Stegostoma tigrinum: one gene and its partners. The protein of the gene in region 3 interacts with the protein of the main gene of each other region in a biochemical or structural test. Links are inferred from orthologs where the notes say so. Each region holds a gene or a part of one and is shown on either strand. Other genes may lie near its edges.

Region 1 (7,751 bases), on a different chromosome or scaffold from region 3:
TCAATCTCATACACAATCATGAAAGTCACATATTTTAGAACTCATTTTTCACCTGAGCTCTTAAAAATATTTTATCCTGCTATGACTTAACAGCTAGACACATTCTGAAATGCTGAATGACAAATCAAAAAGGCAAGACTGAAATGATCTGATTACAAGAGTGTGTGCCTGCATATGTGCATACCGCTATGTTTGTGAATGTTGATGTGATCAGCCATGATCATAATGAATGGTGGTGCTGGCTTGAAGGGCCGAATGGCCTACTCCAGCACTTATTGTCTATCATCTATTGATGTCTAGATAGGCAGCTTTATCGTTATTTGTCTGCTTATTTGTCTTCTGCATGCCTTGGAAGGGAACTTGCATGTGGTGGCATTACCATGCCTTTGTTTTCCCTTGCCCTTCTAGACGATAGGGATCATGGATCTGGAAGGTGCTGTTGAAGGATCTTGGTCAGTTGCTACAGCACACCTTCTAGATAATACATACCGCCGCAACTGTGTGCTAGTTAATGGGGTGCCAATCAAACAGGCTGTTTTTTTTCCTGGATGGTGTTGAGCCCGAGTGCTGTTAGAGTTGCATCCATCTATCAAACTTCACGTTGCATCAGACTCTTGACTTGTGCCTTGTAGACGGTGGACATTGGTACATATGGTAGGTACACTATAGATATGTCAGTTGCAGATTTGGTGGATGCCCCACATTACCACCTTCGTAGAAGGCCAACAGAATTAAAGGTCAAGCGGGCATCTAAGTGGGCACAGTGTGGCCTTTCCCAGGATTACTACATTGGTATAGAAATCCCGTATCCCACTCCCAAGAGTTGTTGCTCAGTCAGAGGCCAAGGAAAGACCTAGAATGATTGAGGAACCCAGGCCTCAGATGAATGAGGATTGGAGGGGTTGCAGGATGGAAGTCATAACAGGAGGGTGAAGGGCAAGGGTCATCAACAAGAGCAGAGGGCCCTCCCCTGCCATGTGCTGTTGCAAAAGGATGCAGGTATCTGAAAAGGTCAATGTTGAGGAATGCTTTAACCACTGCTCAATAGGATGATGTCACATTGTGGGAGATCTCATAGAAGTAAAACTTATCATTGAAGTCTCCTTATCGTCCCAGTAACAATATCTACCAGTTGCATTGTTATCATGCCAAAAGCTATAGCATTGGAGTTGTTGCTCTTAGAGCAGAGAAGGCCAGGAAGGAGAGATAAAAAGGTGTAGAGCTGGATGAACACAGCAGGCCAAGCAGCATCAGAGGAGCAAGAAAGCTGACGTTTCAGGCCTAGACCCTTCTTCAGAAAAACGCTAAGGAGGAACCTGACTGGGGTAAACCAAATGCTGAGAGACAGAGAGACAGGGTAGTTGGGGGGAAACCTTTCTCCTTATTAGAGGGGTCACTAACTGCAAACATACTTTTAAGTTAAGGAACGGGAGTTTGAGGCGAGTTGAGGAAATGGTGTTTCACCCAGAGGTTTGTGGGTATCTGGAATTCACTGCCTAAAGGGTGGTAGAGGCAGAACCCTCAAGACATTGAAAAAGTATTTAGATCAACACTTGAAATGCCACAGCTTACAAGGCTACAGGCCAAAATGGTGTTACAATAGATGAATATTGGATGACCAGTATGGACATGATGGGCCAAAGGGCCTCTTTCAGTGCTTTTAAAAAGTCTATGACTTTGTTCTCTACAAACCCCACTTCTTGTTAGACCAGCCGGAAGTGATTGCCCTCCATTATGCTGGAGTCTGCAAGCTCTGTGGATCCCTACGCTGTAAAGGGAATGGCAGCAGAAAACCTCAGCAAACAGCCGCTCACAGTGTAGAAATGTGACTGCGCATACAACAACAAGAACTGCCTATGTAACACAGGCTGGGCCCTTTGAGCATGCACTGAGTGCTTTGAACAAGGGACGCTTCCTGGGACCCCACCAGCAAACACATGGGGTTTTGTTTTTGGGCCTCTTGTTGATATCAACCATGCCTGAATTGATTGGCCACTTAAGGACCTCAAGTGGCAACAGGTAGAAAGGCTGTCCACGAGATTTCCTGCCCCATATATAAACGAGGGAGAGGTGGCAGGCAGTGTTCCAATTGAGCACCCTTTCACTCAACTAAATACCCCTGTGCCTCCAAACTTAAGGGGAAAGGCATCAAATTCTGCTCCGTGTTTCTTTGTACGTTTCTGTGCAACTGTAGATGTTGGTATGGATTATGGGTATTTTTATCTATATGTGTGTATCTATGTACACGTAGGTCTATACTTGACTGTGCACAAGTATGTCTGTGTGCTTGCATGTGTATAATTATATGCATATACATGTACATACGTGTGTGCACATTTTGTGTATGTGTGTGATACCAGTAGAGTCGTACACAAGAGGAATCCCAGCACTCGAAAAGGTGCCAAAGTGGAACAATAGAATCCATCTCAGCATTTGCTGAGCTTCTCTTCCGTTCTGATAATCAGTGTCACACCCACCAGCGGGTACAGCTCCCGGCATGAATTTTTTTTAACTTCACAATGAGAGCCACAAGCTCGCAATCCCTCTATTCTTTGCAAGTACACAGGCACACACAAATAAAAACGGACATCTGGCACCTTGCGTCTTACCAAGGTGAACCGCTGAGAACTCAGTGCTTGATGGCTGCATGCATTGCTGCTTTTCACAGCCCAGCATCTTTACAGCAAGGTTGGGTGGGAGGGAGGAATTTAATCCCTCCTTCTCAGTATCCGTGCAATAACCACAGCCCTTTCCCCTCTTCAGACATCTACCTCTCCCTCCCTACTTAGTGACTGTCCCACCGTCCTGAAACAAGCAAATATGTTGTATGTGCGCACACACACACACAGGTAGGTTTGACCTTCTCTCGCACATCCCCTGTCACAGCCACGCCAGAACATGCCTTTTCTTTGTTCAAAGGAGCCTCTCAGTTACCTTTTGGAACGTCGGAACATGCTGTTATCAAGGAAGTACGGCATAGAAAAATTAGACAGAACAGTCCAGAGGGAGTCAGACATGGTACTGCAGAGCTGACATTGTGATGGTGGCGTTAGGTTGGTCCACAGCACCGTCTAGCCACCGAGGAAGGAAAGCTGTAGTAATTCCCTCGATGGGTTTGGCAGATTATTCCACCGGTCTGGGAAGGGGAGGATGCTACGCGTGTGAGAGAGAGTGTAAGAGAGTCTCTCTGTATGTGTGTGAACGCATTGCCACCAACAGTCTGGAAGAGCTGGCACCTCTTCAAACCCCCACCCCCTGTTCCTGCATCGTCAAGAATCTGCCCCAGAGCTCAGGCACAATCAGTCAGCCCCACATTTGCCCCCGCCATATGGGAGTGTTCGGGGGGTTGGGAGGAGACGGTGTCTATTCATAAAGCTGCCGTCAATTTATCCGGATTTCAGCTGAAAAGTCCAGACCAAGAGGCTGCCAGAGAAGATGAAAGATCACAATGGGAAAGGGAGAAAAGCTAGAAAAATGATAAGTGAAAGAGGCAGACAAGAGAGAGAAAAGAAACAACGGAGACAAAGAGACAAAAAGGGGCAGAGATAATGACAGAAGGAGGAATTTGAGGGAGGGATAGGCACACCTACAGAAATAGGGACTGATACAAATTCAAATACGACAAGAGTCAAGAGATGGAGAGAAAGAAGGAGCGAGGTATAGTCGAAGGAACATCGGGATACAGAGGGAAGCAGAGACTCAAATACTCACATTCATAGTCTCATCTTACTCTTACACACATTCATATATGCACGCAGCCACGCACATTCTCAGTATACCTTACACACTACACACTCTCACATACATACTTGTCTCTCTCACGGAAAGAGAACGACAGTCCATTCGCCCCTCAAGTTTAAGGTCAGGGACAGATGGAGACTAAGCTAGAGTGAATTAGAATCAGAGCGAGACATGCTCTGAAAAACAGACAAAGAGATAATCGTACAAAGGTAGGAAGTGAAAAATAGAAGCAGACACAAACACAGGAGAGGATAACAGTAGAGAGACCGATTGTGTCAATTGCTGTCTTTCTATCACGATGACACTCAGGAACGGAGTGAAACACAGAAGCAGAAAACAGCAGATCATTAAAAGAGAGAAGCCAAGAGAAAGACTGGGACTGAAACAGTGATTGATTAGAAGCAACTTGAAAGACATAACAGATTTTTTCAAAAAAGTACAAAGATGGAATGATTTAAAATTTTATATGCACAGAAAAGTCTGTCAAACCCTCCTCAACCACATGGAGTCACCAGCCTCTCAACAAAACTAAAGCAGTTTGAACAGGGCTGTGTTCCCTACACACCCTCCCAGTTGGGCTTGTTCAACCTGCATCCTTACCCTGTCTGCACCAAAGACCAAGTTATGCAGTCCTGAGCCACAGTAACAAACTCTATTTATGAAGCAACATTACCATAGGAAAACATTCTAAGATGCCTCATCACAGTGAGTTTGACACTAAGCCATATAAATTGAAATAACTGCACAGAAACCAGTATCCAGTCACCAAGTCACCCTTCATCTATGTGTGCACAGTAAAATCAGGAGGGCCTCTGAATCCCCTGTTTATATCTGTCAGCCAGGGCTTTCTGACTGGCCCAGGTTAACAACCCCAATCAAAGGTCTCATAGTCAATAAGATCTACCTGTTTCCAATCACAACATAAGGAGCTTGCAGGGTGAACAGCCAAAAGCCTGGGCAAAGAGGTAGGTTATAAAGAGCATCTTGAATGAGGGGAGAGATGTGAAAGACAGAAGGGTTTAATGAGAGAATTCCAGGAGTTTAAGATCTGGCAGCTGAAAGCACAGTCAGCCATGGTGCAAGGAATGAAATCTGTGATGCTCAAGAAGCCAGGATGGTGTGATGACATTTTAGAGGGTTGTGAAGTTGCAGGTCAACTACAGACAGAAGAGGTGAAGCCAAGGTTGGATCTAAGGCAGATATTAAAGTTTTAAAATGTAGGAATTGACAGATCAAAACACATAGATTGTTCAATTGATAGAGTTCAGAATCCGATTGACTACCTACACCAGAAATGCTTTTATTCATTTGAGGGATATGGATGTTGCATTTTACATGACTATTTATTGCCAATCAATTATTGTCCTTCAGAAGACACAAAAGGTGAACTGTCTTCTTGAACTGCAGCAGTGTATATGCTGTAGGTAGACCCACAAAGCCATGAATGAGGGAGTTCCATGATACAGAGCCAAGTGACAGTAAAGGAACAGTGATATATTTCCAAGTTGGGATGATGTGGGAACTTGCAGCTGGTGGTGTTCCCTTGGAACTAGTGTCAATATCCTTCTCAATGGTAATGTCATGGGTTTGCAAGATGTTTGTAGATGTTACACTGATTATATTCAATGGTGGTGGTGAAGGGAATGAGTGCTGAAGATGGTGATGGAGTGCCAATCCAGCAAAGTTGTTTTGTCTTGGATGGCGATGAATTTCTGAAGCATCAGTGGAGCTGCACTCATTCAGGCAAATGAAGAGCACACTCTTGACTTGTGTCTTGGAAATGGTGCGCAGGCACTGGGGAGACAAAAGGTGAATCACTCATCTCAGCATTCCCAGCCTCAGATCTGTTCTGGTAGCCAGAATATTGATCAGACAGGTCCAGTTCAGTTTCTGGTCAATGGAAACCCCTGCCATGTCAATAGCCTTAATCAATCTCTTTCAGAGAGACTGGCTGAGGGAGTAAACATCCTTCCTTTGTATTATTCAAAGTTCTTTGCTTCTTTATGCAGATATATACATTTTCCAGGTATCCGCACTTTTATAATAATCAATACTCTCCACTTCATGTCTCAATTTCCAAAGCCCGTTGTATTCCTCATAATACAGTACGAACCTTTATCCATTTTAATGCTTGGGGTAAATCCATATTTTGAAAAGGCCATTATTTCACACTTCATATTTACCTGTAGATGTGCTGCTGATTCCCAGCATATCAATGAGACAGGATGTGATGAGCTGGGATGAATGATCGATTTCTCTACCCTGTCACCTTGTTTATTGATTCATTCTTTTCAATGTCATTTTGGCAATTTGGGACCAGCCTCCTCATCTTACCTTGGATGACGATCGTGGTGCTGGGCATGTCATTGACTTGCCTTCCAGCAAAATACACAGAGGAAGACTTGTCACGGTATGTTGGGAGTTCGAGGCCACTGCAGAAAACTAAGTACGATATGCAGGTTGACAATACTAAAATGTAGGAAGTACTGCACTGTCAGAGATGATGCATTAAACAGAGTCTTGGTGTCTGCATAAAACACTTGAGCATCTGATCTCTTTGTGAAACATTTGAGGACTGATCTCTTCATCAAACACGTTCAAGAAAATAGTTCATGGCTCACAACAAAGATATATTCTAGTGAGAAAGAGCGATTCTAGGAAGGGGGTAAGCCAACAATGATGATCCAGGGATGTTAAGGATAGCATTGTATTGCTATCCACTCTGTCTGTACCCCTCATGATTTTGTAGACCTCAATCAGATCCCCCCTCAATCTCCATCTTTCTAATGAAAATAATCCTAATCTACTCAACCTCTCTTCATAGCTAGCACCCTCCATACCAGGCAACATCCTGGTGAACCTCCTCTGCACCCTCTCCAAAGCATTCACATCCTTTTGGCAATGTGGCGACCAGAACTGTACACAGTACTCCAAAAGTGGCCGAACCAAAGTCCTATACAACTGCAACATGACCTGCCAACTCTTGTACTCAATACCCCGCCCAATGAAGGAAAGCATGCCGTATGCCTTCTTGACCACCCTATTGACCTGCGTTGTCACCTTCAGGGAACAATGGACCTGAACACCCAGATCTCTCTGTTCATCAATTTTCCCTGGGACTTTTCCATTTACTGTATAGTTCGCCCTTGAATTTGATCTTCCAAAATGCATCACCTTGCATTTGCCCGGATCTCGGCCCGAAACGTCAGCTTTTGTGCTCCTAAGGTGCTGCTTCGCCTGCTGTGTTCATCCAGCCCCACACTTTGTTATCTCGGGTTCTCCAGCATCTGCAGTTCCCATTATCTCTGATACAAAATTAAGACTCCATTGTGTTGGGGGCAGTATATCAGCAGGGACAGGGGATTGGCTAACCAATAGAAGACAGAGAGTTGGGATAAAGAGGCATTTTTAGGATGGCAATCTGTAATAAGTGGAGTGCCACCGCAGATCGTGCTGGGCCCACAATTTCTTACAACTTATGCACTTTGTCAGGAAGAATGAAGGAGCTGAATATGATTTAAGTGGAGAAAGACTGATGAAGGCCACAGCACATAAGAATTTGGGAGTCAGTCCTTGTGCACAAATTACAAAAAAGATGAGAATAAGGGTTTGTCCATTTAAGACCAAGAGAATAAGGATTCTTTTTCTTCTCTGAGGGTAGTGAACCTCTTTATCGTAGAGAGTTGTTGAGGCTGGATCATTAAGTCTATTCGAGGTTGAGATAGTCAAATTTTTAATGCACACGGGAATCAAGAATTATGGGGAAAAGTCAGGAAAGTGAAGCTGAGCCACAATCTCATTGAACAGCAAAACAGATTTGATTGATTAATTGGGCACTTTCGTTTTGATGTGTTACGGTCTTACTCATTGACCAGGTCGCTATACAAATCATCCATAAACTAGATGTCTATAATTCTAATCCAGAACTAGGTCTTTATGAAACTTCCAGGGACTGTGGATCACCCAGGGCTGAGTGTCTACATAGAACGTAAGGAGACTAGGATTCTATC
Region 2 (8,121 bases), on a different chromosome or scaffold from region 3:
ACAATGGCTACATGGTTGGCATTAGGTCAGACTTTATCAAATTCAAATTTTGGCACCGCAGGATTCGAACCCATGTCACTATACCATTACCCTGGATTCTAGTCATCATTTCAACGACTTTACCACTCTGCAATCATCTCCCTATTTTATTGGCTTTACTCTGTGCATTCACATACATGCAGTATAACTCTGATTCAGACTCCATTTCTTTCCTTAAAATTTCTGCAATCCACCCTCCTAGATCATATTTCCAGCCATGCATTAATCTGCTTTATTCTTCTATTTCCATTCTCATTTTTGTGTGGCTCTGGGAGTAATCCAGGGATTACTTCTTCTTTTGAGGCCCTGCTTGCTAAACTCCGACCAAGTTCCCTAAATACTGACTGCAGGATTCCCCCTCCTACCCAACACATTGAACCCATCATGAAACACCACCCCCACCCAAACTCCCTGAATCATATCCTGAGTTGCTCTGAGACATCCTTGACCTCACACCAGACAGGAAAGGGTCTAGGCCCGAAACATCAGCTTTTGTGCTCCTCTGATGCTGCTTGGCCTGCTGTGTTCATCCAGCTCTACACCTTGTTATGTCGGATTCTCCAGCATCTGCAGTTCCCATTATCTCTAGGAAACATACCATCCTACAGTCATATTTAAAAACATGTCTGTCTCCAAACTAATCAGACCCCTATCACTACTGCTCTCCCACCTCATTTTCTTTCCCACATTTGCAGATGAGAAAGCAACTGTTAACATTCCATAGGCTACAACAATGAACTCACTTGAGTCTTAATTATGTAATTACTATTTATACAGCAGAGAGGTAACAAGTTCAAATCCGACCACACTTCCTTCCTATAACTAACAAATAACATAATGCACGAGCAAAAAAAGTGAGTTTAATCAGTCATGCACATCAGGAAATTTATCAAATTCAAAGTCTGGTTATTAGAAATTTATTAACTGGCTGCTTGTAAATCATGGAAATCAATTGTGACTTTAAATGGCATTCTTTGTTTATAGTTAGGCAAAATCAGACACAAGCCATCCAACTGCAACTTCCAAATAAGTGATGAAACTGTTGCCCTCTCTCCTTGCTGTCCAAGTTCTCAACATCTAACTGTTCTATAAATCGGTCTGTACCTTTGTGTTAGTTGCGAAGAGGACCTAAGTAGCCTACAAAAGGGATTTAAATAGGTTAAAGAAATGGACAAACATCTGGCAGGTGGAGTGTGTGGGAAAAAAATGTCATTCATTTTAGCAGAAGGAATAAATTAAAGCAGACTGGTACTTGAACAAAGAATGACTGCAAAATTCCAAGGTGCAGAGGGATTTATTTTTTGTAGTGCATGAATTTAGTATGCAGATACAGCAAGTAATTAAGAATCCTAATAGAAATCTATCGTTTTTTGAGAGGAATGAACATAAGAATTATAGATAAGTTAAGTGAGGGGCAAGTATCTGGCAGATAGAGCATATTGTGGGAAAATGTGAAATTGTCCATTTTGGCAGAAGGAAAAAGAGAAGCCTATTACCTGAGATGTGGCACAGCTTGGTGATGCAGAAAAACTTGGGTGTCTTAGTGCATGTATCACAAAAGGTTAGTATGAAGGTACTGCAAGTTATCGGGAATGAGATGATGAAATGTTTTTCTCTCAGAGGGTTGAGTATCTTTGTAATTCCCTTCTCAGAAAGGCAGTGGATGCAGAAAATTGAAATACTTTAATATCAGAAGTAGATAGATTCTTGATTATGAAGGGAGTGAAGGACTAGCGGGGATATGCAGGAATCTCGAGTTGAGGTTAAAAGCAGATCAGCCATGATCTTATTGAACAGCAGAGCAGGCTCAAAGTGTTGAGAATGTGGTGAACAGCTACCTTGCTGGACTGCCCATGTCCATTTGGTGCAGGTAGACCCATAATGCCATTAGGGAGGGACATTAAACAGGTTCTGAGGTTAAAATTGTGTTACTGAGCTTTGATCGTGTAGTACCAAAAAACAGAAGTTGATCCTTACCAACTGTATTATCTAGAATATACCACTTACAGTACAATATATTCCACCCTTTGCACTCCAACTAATGCAACATATTCCTGACGCTGCAATTAAAAAAAATCACCTCTTGATAAGCTTCATATCTATTTTGGCACACTGACAGGAAACTATGCAAAGTGCAGAAACTACTGATCTTTCCACCGTGCATAGTAGGATTTCAACAGAGCAGTTTTTCATCCTACAGATGCCAATATTCTCGACTGCAAAGCTTCTTAAAACATTCAACCATTTTGATGCAGAAAGAGATTTCCAACCTGTGAATAAATCGAACCAACAGCCCTCCATTCCACTGAAATCGTAAAATATTTACTACCTCAAAAGCTGCTTGAATTGTGCACAATCCATTGTCTACACCAACTCACCTGGATAAAGGTACAAGTTAGTTTGCATGAATAAATTGGACCAACACAAATGATAAAATTCAGTAAAAAAAATCAAATAGAACGTACTAAAAGGGGTTACATTATTGTAAACACAACAGAAATCGGTCTTTTAAAAAAAACTAGCCACTTTGATAACTGGAGAGAAATATTCAAATTCACAGCTCATCCACTGAGCCTCTTAAAATTTACTTTGATCTAAATGTTTACTTTTGTTTTTAAAAAGCGGCTTAAACTGCAGATTTGTCAGCTCAGTAACCCGGTACCAAAAGAAAATATACTTTCCACGAGCTCTGGTGAAGTTTACAGTAAACACACGTGAACATTACCGGCTCTGTTGGGAACTGCCACGGCCTATCAAGTTGGACACAAGTAGCTCCGATAATTCCGAGCGCGGAATAATGAGACAAAGGTGATCACATCCAACAGAGAGCGGATATAAAACTTGAAAGAGAAAGCAGTGTTCACTATTTTATCCAGTTCACCTTTACAAACTATCGTGGAATGATTTCACACCAGCGAATATTTCCGTCACATACAATTAACTACTTACTCACTTTTCACCAAAAAGAGAGAGAAAAGCATCAGAAAGTAAGCAATTGCTTGATAAATAAAGTAAAACTGAAATGCGGTAACTTGCCTACAGCCATAATACAGAACACAGCTCAGGTATCCACCCCACACAGTCCCCGCCCCTCGACTCTTCACTGCCAATTACACACTCTCCAGGCATACACCCCTCAGACTTACACCTCACAGGTACCCACGGTCCACGGTACACATTCATTGAGCATATACAGCCCAGATACACAGATCACGGGTTTTAAAATAATCATAGATAATGGGAACTGCAGATGCTGGAGAAACCAAGATAACAAAGTGTGGGGCTGGATGAACACAGCAGGCCAAGCAGCATTTTAGGAGCACAAAAGCTGACGTGTAGGGCTGAGACCCTTCATCAGAGAGGGGGATGGGGAGAGGGTTCTGAAATAAATAAGGAAAGGGTGAGGCGGATAGAAGATGGAGAGAGGAGAAGATAGGTGGAGAGGAGACAGACAGATCAAAGAGGCGGGGATGGAGCCAGTGAAGGTGAGTGTAGGTGTGGAGGTAGGGAGGAGATAGGTCAGTACAGGGAGGACAGACAGTTCAAGGGGGCTGGATGAGGCTAGTAGGTAGGAAATGGACATAATTGGAACTGCAAATGCTGGAGGATCTGAGATAACAATGTGTGTAGCTGGATGAACACAGCAGGCTAAGCAGCATTTTAGGAGCACAAAAGCTGACGTTTCGGGCCTCGACCCTTCATCAGATTTTCTGTCAGCTTTTGTGCTCCTAAGATGCTGCTTAGCCTGCTGTGCTCATCCAGCTCCACACTTTGTTTTCTTGGTAGGAAATGGAGGTGTGGCTTGAGGAGGGGATAGGTAAGAGGAAGGACAGGCTAGGAAGGCGGGGATGAGCTGGGCTGGTTTTGGGATGCATTGGCGGGAGGGAAGATTTTGAAGCATGTGAAATCCACATTGATCCTATTGGGCTGCAGCGTTCCCAAGCGGAATATGAGTTGCTGTTCCTGCAACCTTCGTGTGGCATCGTTGTGGCCCCCACCTCTTCCTCCGTTACATTGATGACTGTATTGGCGCCGCCTCGTGCTCCCAAGAGGAGCTTGAACAGTTCATCCACTTCACCAACACCTTCCACCCCAACCTCAAATTCACCTGGACCATCTCCAACATATCCCTCTCCTTCCTGGATCTCTCTGTCTCCATCTTAGGCAACCATCTAAAAACCAATATCCATTTCAAGCCCACCAACTCCCACAGCTGCCTAGAATACATCTCCTCCCACCAACCTTCCTGCAAAAATTCCATCCCCTATTCCCAATTCCTTTGCCTCCACTGCATCTGCTCTCACGATGAGGCATTCCACTCCCGCACATCCCAGATGTCCTCGTTCTTCAAGGACCGCAACTTCCGCCCCCGCACTGATCAAGAACACCCTCGACCATGTCTCCCGCATTGCCCACAACATGGGGGTCATAGGGGGATGGGTCTGGTTGGGATGCTCCAAGAGGCCGTGTGGACTTGTTGGGCTGAAGGCCCTGTTTCCACACTGTCGGGAATCTAATCTTTTCTGATGAAGGGTCTAGGCCCAAAACATCAGCTTTTGTGCTCCTAAGATGCTGCTTGGCCTGCTGCGTTCATCCAGCCCACACTTTAAAATAATCATTACGGGATCTAGGTGTCAGTGGTTAGTCAGCATTTATTGCCCACCCCTACCTGCCCAGAGAAGGTGCTGGTGTGCTGCCTTCTTGAAGCTGCGGTCCATTAAGTGTAGATAGACTCACAGAATCATTGGGGAGGGAGTTCCAGGATCATTCAGGAACATTGATGGAACGATGATAATATTTCCAAGTTAGGATGGTGGCTTGGAGAGAAACTTGAAGATGGTGCTGTTCTGATTATCTGCTGCAATTGACCTTCTGGGTGGGCATGGCCATAGGTTTGGAAGGTATTGTCTAAAGATTCTTGGTGAATTTCTGCAGCTCTTGAAGACGTCAGGTATTTGCACTCCGAGATATACACTCCTCCGATACGCACAGTTTCAGATATGGTTGCCTGCCACGAACACGCTACTCAAGAACAAACTCTTTAGGTATAACCCTTCAGATAGCTAGCTTTCAGATATACACTCTTCAGGTGTTACGAACTTGGTTCTCTAGTATTTCCCCCAGGAGTTCCTTCTGTAGCCTCCATGCGCTTCAACCACAAAAGTGTTACCATGCAGAAAAAGACCACTCAGCCTGTTTGCACCAATCTTTTCATGTTTCTATTTCTTTATCTTGTCTATGCTGTTATTAATAGCCACAATTAAGGGTGGTGATCCCTAATTTATATCCCAAATAGGAATTATTTTCCATAATTCGTAGTTTGTGAGTTTTATTAGATATAGTTCGAGATTTGGGACTACTGATCGTGGTCTGTGCATTAACACATTTGCCATAACATAGAAAATAGAAGCAGGAGTAGGCCATTTGGCCCTTTGACCCTGCTCTACCCGTCATTATGGTAATGGCTGACCACCCATCTTGCTTTCGCACCATATCCTTTGATCCGTTTAGCTCCAAATGACACAGTACTGCTGCCTCACATCACCAGGGACTCGGGTTTAATTCCAGACTTAGGTGACTGTCTGTGTGGAGTTTGCACATTCTCCCTGTGTCTGCGTGGGTTTCCTCCCAGAATCCAAAGATGTGTAAGTTGGGTGGATTGGGCATGCTAAAATTGCCTTACAGTGTCCAGGAATGTGCAGGCTAGATGGATTATCCATGGGAAACTCATGGGTTACAGGGGTGGGAGACGGTGTTCAGAAGGTGGGTGCAGACTCAATGGGCTGGATGGCCTCTTTCTGCACTGTAGGGATTCTATGATTGTAACTCTTCCTGGATATCAGACAATGTACTGCCCTCAACTGCTTTCTGTGCCAGCAATTTCCACAGGCTCATCCCTCTCTGGGTGAAGAAATTTATTTACATTTTAGTCCTGAATGGTTGAACCCATATCCTTAGTCTGTTACCCCTGGTTCTGGACTCCCTCACCAATAGAACATCTTTCTTTCAAGTATCCCGTTAGAATTTTAGGTTTCGGGCCAACTGATCGGACTATAGTTCCAATATAAACATAAGGCTAATAGTTACTGATTTCTTTAGAAAGTATGTGGAACAGCAGCGTTTGTTTGTGATCAGCAATTTGGGATAGTAGATTGTGAGCAGAGATAAAAAAAAGTAAAAATAAGTAACTGGACAGAAATAGCAGCAAAAATGACTCCTGTGGTGTCTAGAAGCCTTCTGTAAAAGAAGATAATTGACTTTTAAAGATTAACTGAGGATAGTCAGGGAATTGACAGCAATGATACTCCATTCTCTATTATAATATTGGCTTAGCCCTGAATAGCTTCGTAGATTGTGCCACTGCACCATGCATAGTAATATAATTCGCAGTGTGTAAGTAGAAGCAAATTATCTACTGAGAATGTCTTCAATGGAAAACCTAAACTTTCCAAAAGAATTCATTCATGCCTACGTTTGTGAGAAGTGCATATCCACAATTACCTTTTTAGAATGAAGAGTTTAACCCTCCCAGTCATGATTAACACCTAAGTATTAGGAGAAGTTGTGGCTCATGGTAGGACTAGTGAACATAAAGGGAATTTCAGAAATGAAGGGATAATCTAAATAGCAGAACTTAAAGTGTCATAATCTAGGGAAGAGGCTTAAAATTAGCCTTTTTAAAATGGCAAGCTTCTCAGGTATTGGCTGCTCTCTCAATTAATGTTGTTGAGGCTGGATCTTAGGTCAGCCTGTCATTCCAAATGGGGATCAATATTTTCTAATTAATCTGTTCAGTGATATTATTACAAACCTCTGGAGCAGGTTGAAACTTGAAGCCAGCTCTCTTGACTAAGAGGTGGGGACATTGCCACAAAACAACTGTGAACCCCAAATGAAGGTATACATGCTCCGAATGCATCATTTGTTATATATCTAAAAATTAACAAAAAAAAATCTGTGGACCATCAAGCTCAGACTTTTGGGAGAGACTTTGATGTTGATTGAGAAACTTATTGAAGCTAGTAAAATAAAGATAATTTGATTGGTTGAATGTAATCAAGTTTTTATGCAATCTGTAATTAGTTCCTCCATTTAAAGCATAATGTTGGATCTTCAAACTTACAGTTGCTCAAAAAAAGGTGGATATTTTTATCTATGGAAACTATTTTCAGTGATTTGTAGACATTACTTGACGGTGTGTCAGGGAACTGTCCAGAAAATCATAATTTTAACTTTGAAACTCTTAATAGAATGACCAAAATCACAGAAACCCCTAATAGGCAACATTTTAATGGAGCAATTTTCATTGGAACTATTTGCAAAGCAGTTTAAACAGAGTTTAAAACCTTTTTCAGAATCATAATAAAAGTGGATTTACATAGACATGGTACAAATTCATTCATTCCATTTCACACTGCATTAGCACCAAAGCTGGAAATCCATTTGATTGAACAAACAAGGCAAGACTATTCTGGACATGAGCATTCTTATGTCATAATGTAAAGAGTTCATTATTATTTCAAAATAGCTTTTTATCCTCAAAGCGGTATTACCAGGATCTGCACACTTCATGAGATCATTATCATAATTTCTCATTTAGAGACCAAAACATTTGCAAATTTGACATCTCCAAACATCTCATGAACAATCTAGTTTAAGACTTCAGATGGTGACTGGCACTGGAAGTGAAAATATATTTTAAGACATCAAAAAGTCTTTTCTACTCATCAGCAGTAATTAATGTCTTGTAAAACACTGGTTATTATAACTAATTACATGGCTGTTTCTGTAACACTTGATTACATTGCCTCTGTTCTTTACTCATTATTACATTTCAATCTGTGTGGCTTATTACGAGTGACAAACTAAGTTAATGGTTGCCGAAACTTTAATTAAGTTTCTTTTTATTCTTGAATAATTAATGCCTTTCAGTATACAGAACTGCTCTGCATTCTTGGTACATGCAATTTTTAGATAAATAAAAATGAAATATGAAAGGAGTTATATTTTGTCTTTTCAATGTCAATAATGAAGTATCATCATCTTGCTTTGAGCATATTGCTTTTATTTATTCAGCCCCGT
Region 3 (7,502 bases):
CAAACTTGGATATTATCCAGGTCCTGCTGCATTTGAATGTGGGCTGCTTCATTCTCTGAGGAAGCTTCCCACATCTGATCTTATAATGAAGATGTAATCGATGAAGCAGCTGAAGACAATTAGGCCTCTGACATTACCCTTGGAATTCCCAAAAAGATATCCTGGAACAAAGATGACTGGCCTCCAACAATCACGATCATCTTCCTTTGCCTCAGGTATGGCTCCAAACTGTGGAGAGATTCTCCCTGATTCCCACTGACATTAGTTTTGCTAGAGCTCCTTGATACCACATTTGGTCAAATGCAGCTTTGATGTCTTTGTTAAACAAAGGCTGTTGTGAAGTCAGGAGCTGAGTGGCCCTGGTGGAACCCAAGCTGAGTGTAGACAGCAGGTTCTTGCTAAGAAAGTGCAACCTGATAACACTATGATGACTCTTTTCATCATTTTACTGATAATCGAGAGAAGAATGAGGCGAACATAACCAACTTAATTGGATTTGCCCTGCTTTATACAGAATGGATCTGAGCAATTTTCCACATTGTCAGGTAGATGCCAGTGTTGCAGCTGTCCTAGAACCATTTGTCTTGGTGCACAGCAAATTCTGCAGCTTATAGCTTCAGTACGATTGCCAGAACATTGACAGAGCCTATGCAGTGTGTAGTGCCTTCGACAGTTCCTTGATATAGTACCTGGCACTTTTGACAGAGCACTGTTGCAAATGCTTCAGCATTATCTTTTGTATTGACATGCTAGGCTCCTTCATCATTTGACAATGGGGATTTTTTTGGAGCTCCTCCTTCAGTGAGGTGTTTAATTGTCCAGTGCCCCTCATGACTGGATGTGGCAGAATTGCAAAGGTTAGATCAGATCCATTGGTTGGATTGCTTAACTCTGAATATTATTTCATTTTGGCTCCAAATAGTCCTGTTGTGTAGCTTCACCAGGTTGACATCCCATTTTTAGGTACATCAGCTGCTGCTCCTTGCATGTCCTCCTGCAATCTTCATTGAACTAGGGTTGATCCCCTGACCTGATGGAAATGGTAAAGTGGAGGATTTCCCAAATTACAAGGCTGCTTGGCCTGCTGTGTTCATCCAGCCTCACATTTTATTATCTTGGAATTCTCCAGCATCTGCAGTTCCCATTATCTCTGATACAAGGTTGCAGTTGTGTTTGAGTACAATTCTGCTGCTGATGATGGCCTGCAGCAATCTTGTGTTGGGTTGCTAGAGTGCAAGAACTCTGAGTGCAAAGATTGTGTTTTTGAGGAGAATCAAAGACTTATCAGGTGGAACATTGTTATACAGTTATGCAATCTTAATTGGTACCTGAACATTTCAACTGGATAGTTCACACTCTTGAGTCAAGAACTTATCCAAAATAGTCAGTGCCTGAGATCAATAGATACCAAAACAAGAACTATTTATTGTAACAAATTCTAGAGAATTTAATGGATTAGATCTCCAATGGAATTGCAGATGATCTTTTCCCTCACTGGTTCAATTAAACTATTTTAAACAAACCATTGTTTTTCAAGAATTATATTTCTGTCGCATGTTGTTAATATGCACATTCAGCTGTGAAATGTTGCTATCACTTTGAATACTTTTTTCTCAATAAAATGTGAAAGAAGTAATAGATTAGCAAGCCATGAAACCTAAATTTTGCCACGTATCAGCCCGATTTTGATTTATAAAGTGAACCGTAATGTTTTATCCATCAGGAGCTTTTATTATAGTACTGCCCCAGATCCAATTTCCTCCCTCGGGAAATGTTGCTTCAATATCAATGTGTTTCTTTCTACTTTCTTTCAATATTCCGTTGTTCATCTTTTAAACCCTGCTTCTCAAGTACAGAAGGATGCAATAAAATTATTCCAGTACATTGTCTAGCAGTTCCGCTCTAGATGCAACTCCGTTCCTTTCTTGCCCACTGTACACACAATTCCTTTTCACCGCTCTCCCAATCTCAGGTTTTCATTCTGCGTGATGACTCCACGAAGCATGTGGCAAATCATTATTTTGGTTAGAAAGCGAAAATTATGGAAGACGAAACCATTTGGTAGCTGCGGGTGCAAGGTCATACATGCGTTAAATAAAGTGTTCATAATGTCATTAGGGCCATAGTCTTTTTTTTCGAGTCACTTTCATCAGCAGCTGCTGCTTCAATATGCGGCATAATTCATTTCACTATTTTCTAAATAAAAAACAATTTTGGCAAAAAATGTCCGTAAATGTGACGTCCTTTTAAAGATATAAAGGTATGCGCTCATTTTTGCGTTAATTAATATTTTTGAAGTTAGCAGAATCCTAAGTCGGAGGCTAGATACCACACGCAATCACTGAACAAAGAAGACGCGGTGACACAAAGCACGCAACTGCCAAACACTGATATTTTTTCCCCAAAAAAATAGTCATAATTGCAACCACAATGTGGCAACATAACCAACATTTGCAATGCCTAAGGTAACTGAATTGTTATCCTGCCGCTTCGATCCTCTGCAGATGCTGTTTCGATAAAATTCAACGGCGCCCCAAACAGCAATTTAGCTACATTTGACAATGATTTTAGTACACTAACCCGCCCTCCATTGGAAAGTGTGAGCGATCGGAGAAGCCCACCTTGGACCTTTCAACTTCTGAGGAATTTCCCCAAGCGCTGGAGCTTAGCAAGTCAGCTCACTGTATGCCAAACAGCAAGAGCTGGATTAAGAGTATCGCTTTTCCTTCTGAATGACATTTCTCTCTCAGCTGAGTTTACACTCCCTCTAGTCTGGTTATGACTTGTTGCAAATATTTACCTCGGTCTCTAGGTGAACCAGGTCCACTTTGGGCCAAGGACCAGCTAACTGTGCCAACGGCATCCTGCAACCGACTGAGAAACGGGACAAGAGGCAAATCCCTGTCAGTGTGAATGTTTCCGGAGAGAGTTGCCCGCTGTCGCTGAGCTCTGTCCAGGTAGGTGAGAGATAACTGCACAGAGTATTGGATCCTTTCTGATGAGTTTATACCGCTGGGTGAAGTGACACCAAGACCCGACTCTTCTCTCGCTCTTTTCCCTTCCCTTCTCGCGGGTTCCGATCGTGAACTGCTGCTCAGCTCGAGCTCTCTGGCGCCTGCCACTCACCACCCTCGCGCGATTACGTCATCGCGTCAGGCGACGTCCATACGTGTGGCTGTGGCATGGCACGAAATGGTGGGGAGTGGACGAGGTTCTAATGGCAATCTCAGAAAAGGTCAGGCAACGTCGATGGGTGCCGTGCGTGTGGAAGTGGTCCTCCTCAGCGTTCCAACCGTAAAGTGTTACACCTCAGAAGGACACCAACGGGCGCATCATATTTGTACGGGTTCTATGAAGGACAGGCTCAATTAGTCCCGCGCAAGATACGGGTGGTTACCGGAAAATTGGCAGGCGCCACTGATGTTCATTTCAGGGGCAAGTGCATGATGGGCCGATCGGCCTTTCCTGTGCTGTTAAATTTCTGTGATGTATTCGCCCGGTCCTTTCTTCACGTTCAATTGTTTTATATTTGGAATTTTTTTTTGAAATAGTGTGTTTCAAATTTTAACCAGAAGAAATGTATCCTCATTTTCTCTCTGGCTTAGTGGCCAGTTATTTGAACTCTATCACCTCTGGTCCTTTCCTCTCTGCCTAAGGAAGTTTTTTTTTCTGTACTTGCTCCTCTAAAATGGCTAATGTTAATGAATAGGTCTATTCGATTTCCCCTTCTCCACTTTAAGAACATTAACAACAACAGCTTAAGTGTATCTAATGCATCTAATGTAATTAAGTCCACAAATGTATTATAAAACTATATATGTCCTCAACTTTATAGAGGGCAGAATTTGGGGGAGTAGTATGGAATGCAATGGAAGACTTGAATCGAGAACTAAGTAGGTATGACTAGTATGTACACCTGGAGTACTGTGTGCAGTTTTGGATCCCTTACTTGAGAAGCGATATCCTAGCACTGGAGGAGGTGCAGAGGAGATTCACTCAGTTGATTCCAGAATTGAGAGGGTTGGATTATGAGGAGAGACTGAGTAGACTGGGATTATACTCATTGGAATTCAGGAGAATGAGGGAAGATCTTATAGAAACATATTATGAAGGAAATAAATAAGATGGAGGCAGGGAGGTTGTTTCCACTAGCAGGTGAAACTACGACTAGAGGGCATCGCCGCAAACTAAAGGGAAGCAGACGTAGGACTGAGGTCAGGAGGAATTTCTTCACCCAAAGGGTTGTGGATCTGTGGAATTCCCTGTCCATTGAAGCTGTTGAATCTACCTCACAGAATGTTTTTAAGGCAAGGCTAGATAAATTTTTGAACAGTTAAGGAATTGAGGGTTATGGTGAGTGGGCGGGCAAGTGGAGCTGAGTCTCAAAAAGATCTTATTAAATAGTGGAGCAGGTTCAAGGGCCAGATGGCCTAATCCTGCTCCTAGTTCTTATGCTCTTATGAATGAGAGTTTCAGGAGCAGATCAGCTAAGGTAGGGACAAACTTGTCACAGAATTAGAATTAAACAGTTTTAGAGATCATAGGAATGAGGTCAGAAGTTCATCTCAGGATTGAACGTGACACCAAGTTAAGTAACAGACTGCCCGATTCTCAGAAAATTGTTAGCAAGAGGGACAGAATTAGTCATAGTGAAAATAGTAGTTAGGAAACAGAATTGGAGCTGGAACCAAAAACAATAGTTTAAACCTCCTAATATTTGATTGGAAAACATTTCTGCTGGCCCAGTACTGTGCGCTAGGAGTAGCTCAGTGGTTAGCACTGCTGCCTCACAGCACCAGGGACCCGGGTTCAGTTTCCCTCCACAGTCCAAAGATATGCAGACTAAATGGATTGGCTGTGCTAAATTGCCCGTAGTGTTCAGGGATGTGTAGATTAGGTGAGAGAGGGGCATGGGTCTATATAGGCTCTCTGGGTCGGTGTGGACTTGTTGCGCCCAGGGTCTGTTTCCACACTGTATGGATTCTGTGATAAACCGGTAATTTAACTGTCATGGAAAAGTCAAGATAGTAGGTAATGAGATGGAGTGGGAATCTACTTTTAAAACCAACGCTGATTTTAGATAATGACAGCAGGTAGATGCAAGACAAATGGGAGACAAGTTTAGATTTGTGGAAGATGTCAGAGATATCTGAGAGATTGAGGAAGAGAAGCTGTTGCTAGTGGCTACAGTTAGATAAGAATGGACCCAGCTAGAAGCAGTGATAGATATTTTCTAACCAATCTGTGCACAAATGTTGTTACACACCCTTGGAGCAGATGGGTTTTAAATCTCGGCCTCCTGGATCAGAAGTAGGGATATTATGACTGTGCTATAAGAGCCCAATCCCAGCCGAGGAGGATTCGTGTGATTGATCATGTAAAAGACTGCACACAGGATGAGAAGGAATATCGTACCTTTATTGCAATCATGTAGGATGTCATTTATGATTTTCACAAGACCTGTTAGGTGCTGCTGTGTTGCAGAGCCCTTATTGCAAGGATTCAAACATGAGCTGTGAAAAAGTTTAGAACAAATTTTGGGAGACCACAACACTTTTTAAGAACTTTGGAAAGAAACAGAAGATCATAGAAAACATGGTCAGTTGCAAAGGAAGAAGTATCAAAGTGTAATCTCTCAAAGTAAAAGGAGACTAATTTGGTTTAGGAAACCTGGTCAGCATGGACAGGTTGGGCTGAAGGGCCTGTTTCCATGCTGTACACTTCTATTACTGTGTAAAGTCACCATAGTCTTACCAGACCATAAGACTGCTGTCTCATTAGAGGAAGACTACTGGCAGTGGTTTAACTTGAGGATCACTACACATAGAACATTACAGCACAGTACAGGCCCTTCGGGCCTCGATGTTGTGCCGACCTTGAGTAAGAGGAGAAGTTGAGAGGAGACTCCTTCATGGTAATGTCAAGGAGAGGTGTGATGACAGCAGATTTAGAGAATAGAGGACCTGAAGGTATAACTATCTACAATATTGGCTAATATGGACATGGAGTTAATATTATCAGAAATGGGAGTGGGAGACCAATTCTAGCTTCTCCAATGTTAATATAACATGTCTAATGTTTAGAAAAGTTTATTTCTTTCTACGTGCCTTGGCATATACTGCTGGAATGAAGCATTTGATTTTGATTTATGTGTATACTGCATTAAAGAGTAGCACAGGGATTGCAAACAAAGATCTATAAAAGTCCTTATTTAAGTTTTTCAGGTTACTGATCAATCTTAGCAACTTGCAAGAGATTGATATTTTGTCTTATTAACATTGAGATATAGAAGAGCATATTATTTAGTATTTTAATATATTAACATGTTAGATGGTGATTGGCAGCGAGAATGCAGCACGGAGGTGCAGGGATCAAGAGGTCAAGCCCAGCACGGGAGAGAGTTTGAGCCCCTGTGAGAAAAGCCCAGCACAGAGCAACTGCAGGTTCATGATTAATGAAGGACTGTAATTTGGAACTTTTAACTTTATTTCTTATTTACTGCTTTATGCTGACAAGAACTGCAATGTTCAACTTTTAACATTTCTTTATTTTTTCAAAGATTTTGTACCTAGGTAGCTTGAAACCTAAGATGGCTTCATGAATGGTGACATTGTAAACCTTTCACTGTGCTCCTGCATCCCTGTACTTGAGTACACGTGACAGTAAAACTTAATAAATAAAGCCTAATGTTTTAGTTATTTCCAATGAAAAAGAAAAAACAAAAAGTCATACTTTACCAACATTCTGGTATTGGTGAGAAAGGACCATGCAGCGTGCCTATAAGAAAAGCTGACCTACATTGTGACTAGTGTCACTGCAGTTTGTGCTGCATGTATCTTGCAGCATTCCAGCTGAAGGAGCTGCTGACTTCATCAGTAGTTCGACAGACAGAGAACCACCTTGAGGCAATTTCCTCACTGCAGCATAGGAAGTGCAACTGCTGCAACAATGTATATATTGCAGCCTATGGCAGACAGCATTTTACTTTACTGGAGAATGCTGCTGGCTGCCAAATGTTTCTGGTTCTGAAGTCAGCCTTCCCAGTCAGACTAGTAATGCTGTCCTGACACAGTACATATTCCCAGCAACTGCAAATTTTGAGCTGCCTCATAGTTGTTCATGTGTTGCCGCTGGTGCTAAGGCATCCAGTCTCTTGTATAAACAGAACTTGGAAGTTAAGCCAGACAGAGGTTAAAATGGTTCTGATTATATAAGCTTGTCCATTAATTTTAAGTTTGGCTCCCTCAGTTTATGTCCCCTTCTCTTCAAATATTTGTTCCATTCTCCAGCAATTCTTGGCCACAATGAACACACAAATCCATCAAAAATGTAACAAACAAGTTCAGTGCCTTGACTGTACTATTCAATGTATTTATTCTGAATGTTGCTCCCTTAGTACATCATTCAATTAATGACATTTAAAAAAATACTAAACAGAGGGAGCTGTTTGTGTCTCTTAGTAGTCTGTGCTATGGTCATATATTGATAAAGTGAAACATACA

The links. The genes of interacting proteins can lie anywhere in the genome.
Region 1: the proteins of ribosomal protein S6 kinase 2 alpha-like (region 3) and microtubule-associated serine/threonine-protein kinase 1-like interact in a test that uses a peptide from one of them, tested with the Homo sapiens proteins (2 studies listed by BioGRID and IntAct, with this or other methods). The link is inferred for Stegostoma tigrinum from reciprocal best matches to the Homo sapiens genes RPS6KA1 and MAST1.
Region 2: the proteins of ribosomal protein S6 kinase 2 alpha-like (region 3) and lnx1 interact in a test that uses a peptide from one of them, tested with the Homo sapiens proteins (2 studies listed by BioGRID and IntAct). The link is inferred for Stegostoma tigrinum from reciprocal best matches to the Homo sapiens genes RPS6KA1 and LNX1.

What each region holds. Positions count from the first base shown.
Region 1 is NC_081388.1:17,541,548-17,549,298, reverse strand, and holds the start of microtubule-associated serine/threonine-protein kinase 1-like, read right to left. Parts: upstream 3,078-7,751; 5' UTR 3,018-3,077; coding exon 2,935-3,017; intron 1-2,934. UniProt on the Homo sapiens protein: Microtubule-associated protein essential for correct brain development. Appears to link the dystrophin/utrophin network with microtubule filaments via the syntrophins. Phosphorylation of DMD or UTRN may modulate their affinities for associated proteins.
Region 2 is NC_081354.1:107,522,715-107,530,835, forward strand, and holds the start of lnx1 (E3 ubiquitin-protein ligase LNX), read right to left. Parts: upstream 3,078-8,121; 5' UTR 2,993-3,077; intron 2,880-2,992; exon of another isoform or gene 2,765-2,879; intron 1-2,764.
Region 3 is NC_081377.1:32,187,560-32,195,061, forward strand, and holds the start of ribosomal protein S6 kinase 2 alpha-like, read right to left. Parts: upstream 3,111-7,502; 5' UTR 2,864-3,110; coding exon 2,801-2,863; intron 1-2,800. UniProt on the Homo sapiens protein: Serine/threonine-protein kinase that acts downstream of ERK (MAPK1/ERK2 and MAPK3/ERK1) signaling and mediates mitogenic and stress-induced activation of the transcription factors CREB1, ETV1/ER81 and NR4A1/NUR77, regulates translation through RPS6 and EIF4B phosphorylation, and mediates cellular proliferation, survival, and differentiation by modulating mTOR signaling and repressing pro-apoptotic function of BAD and DAPK1.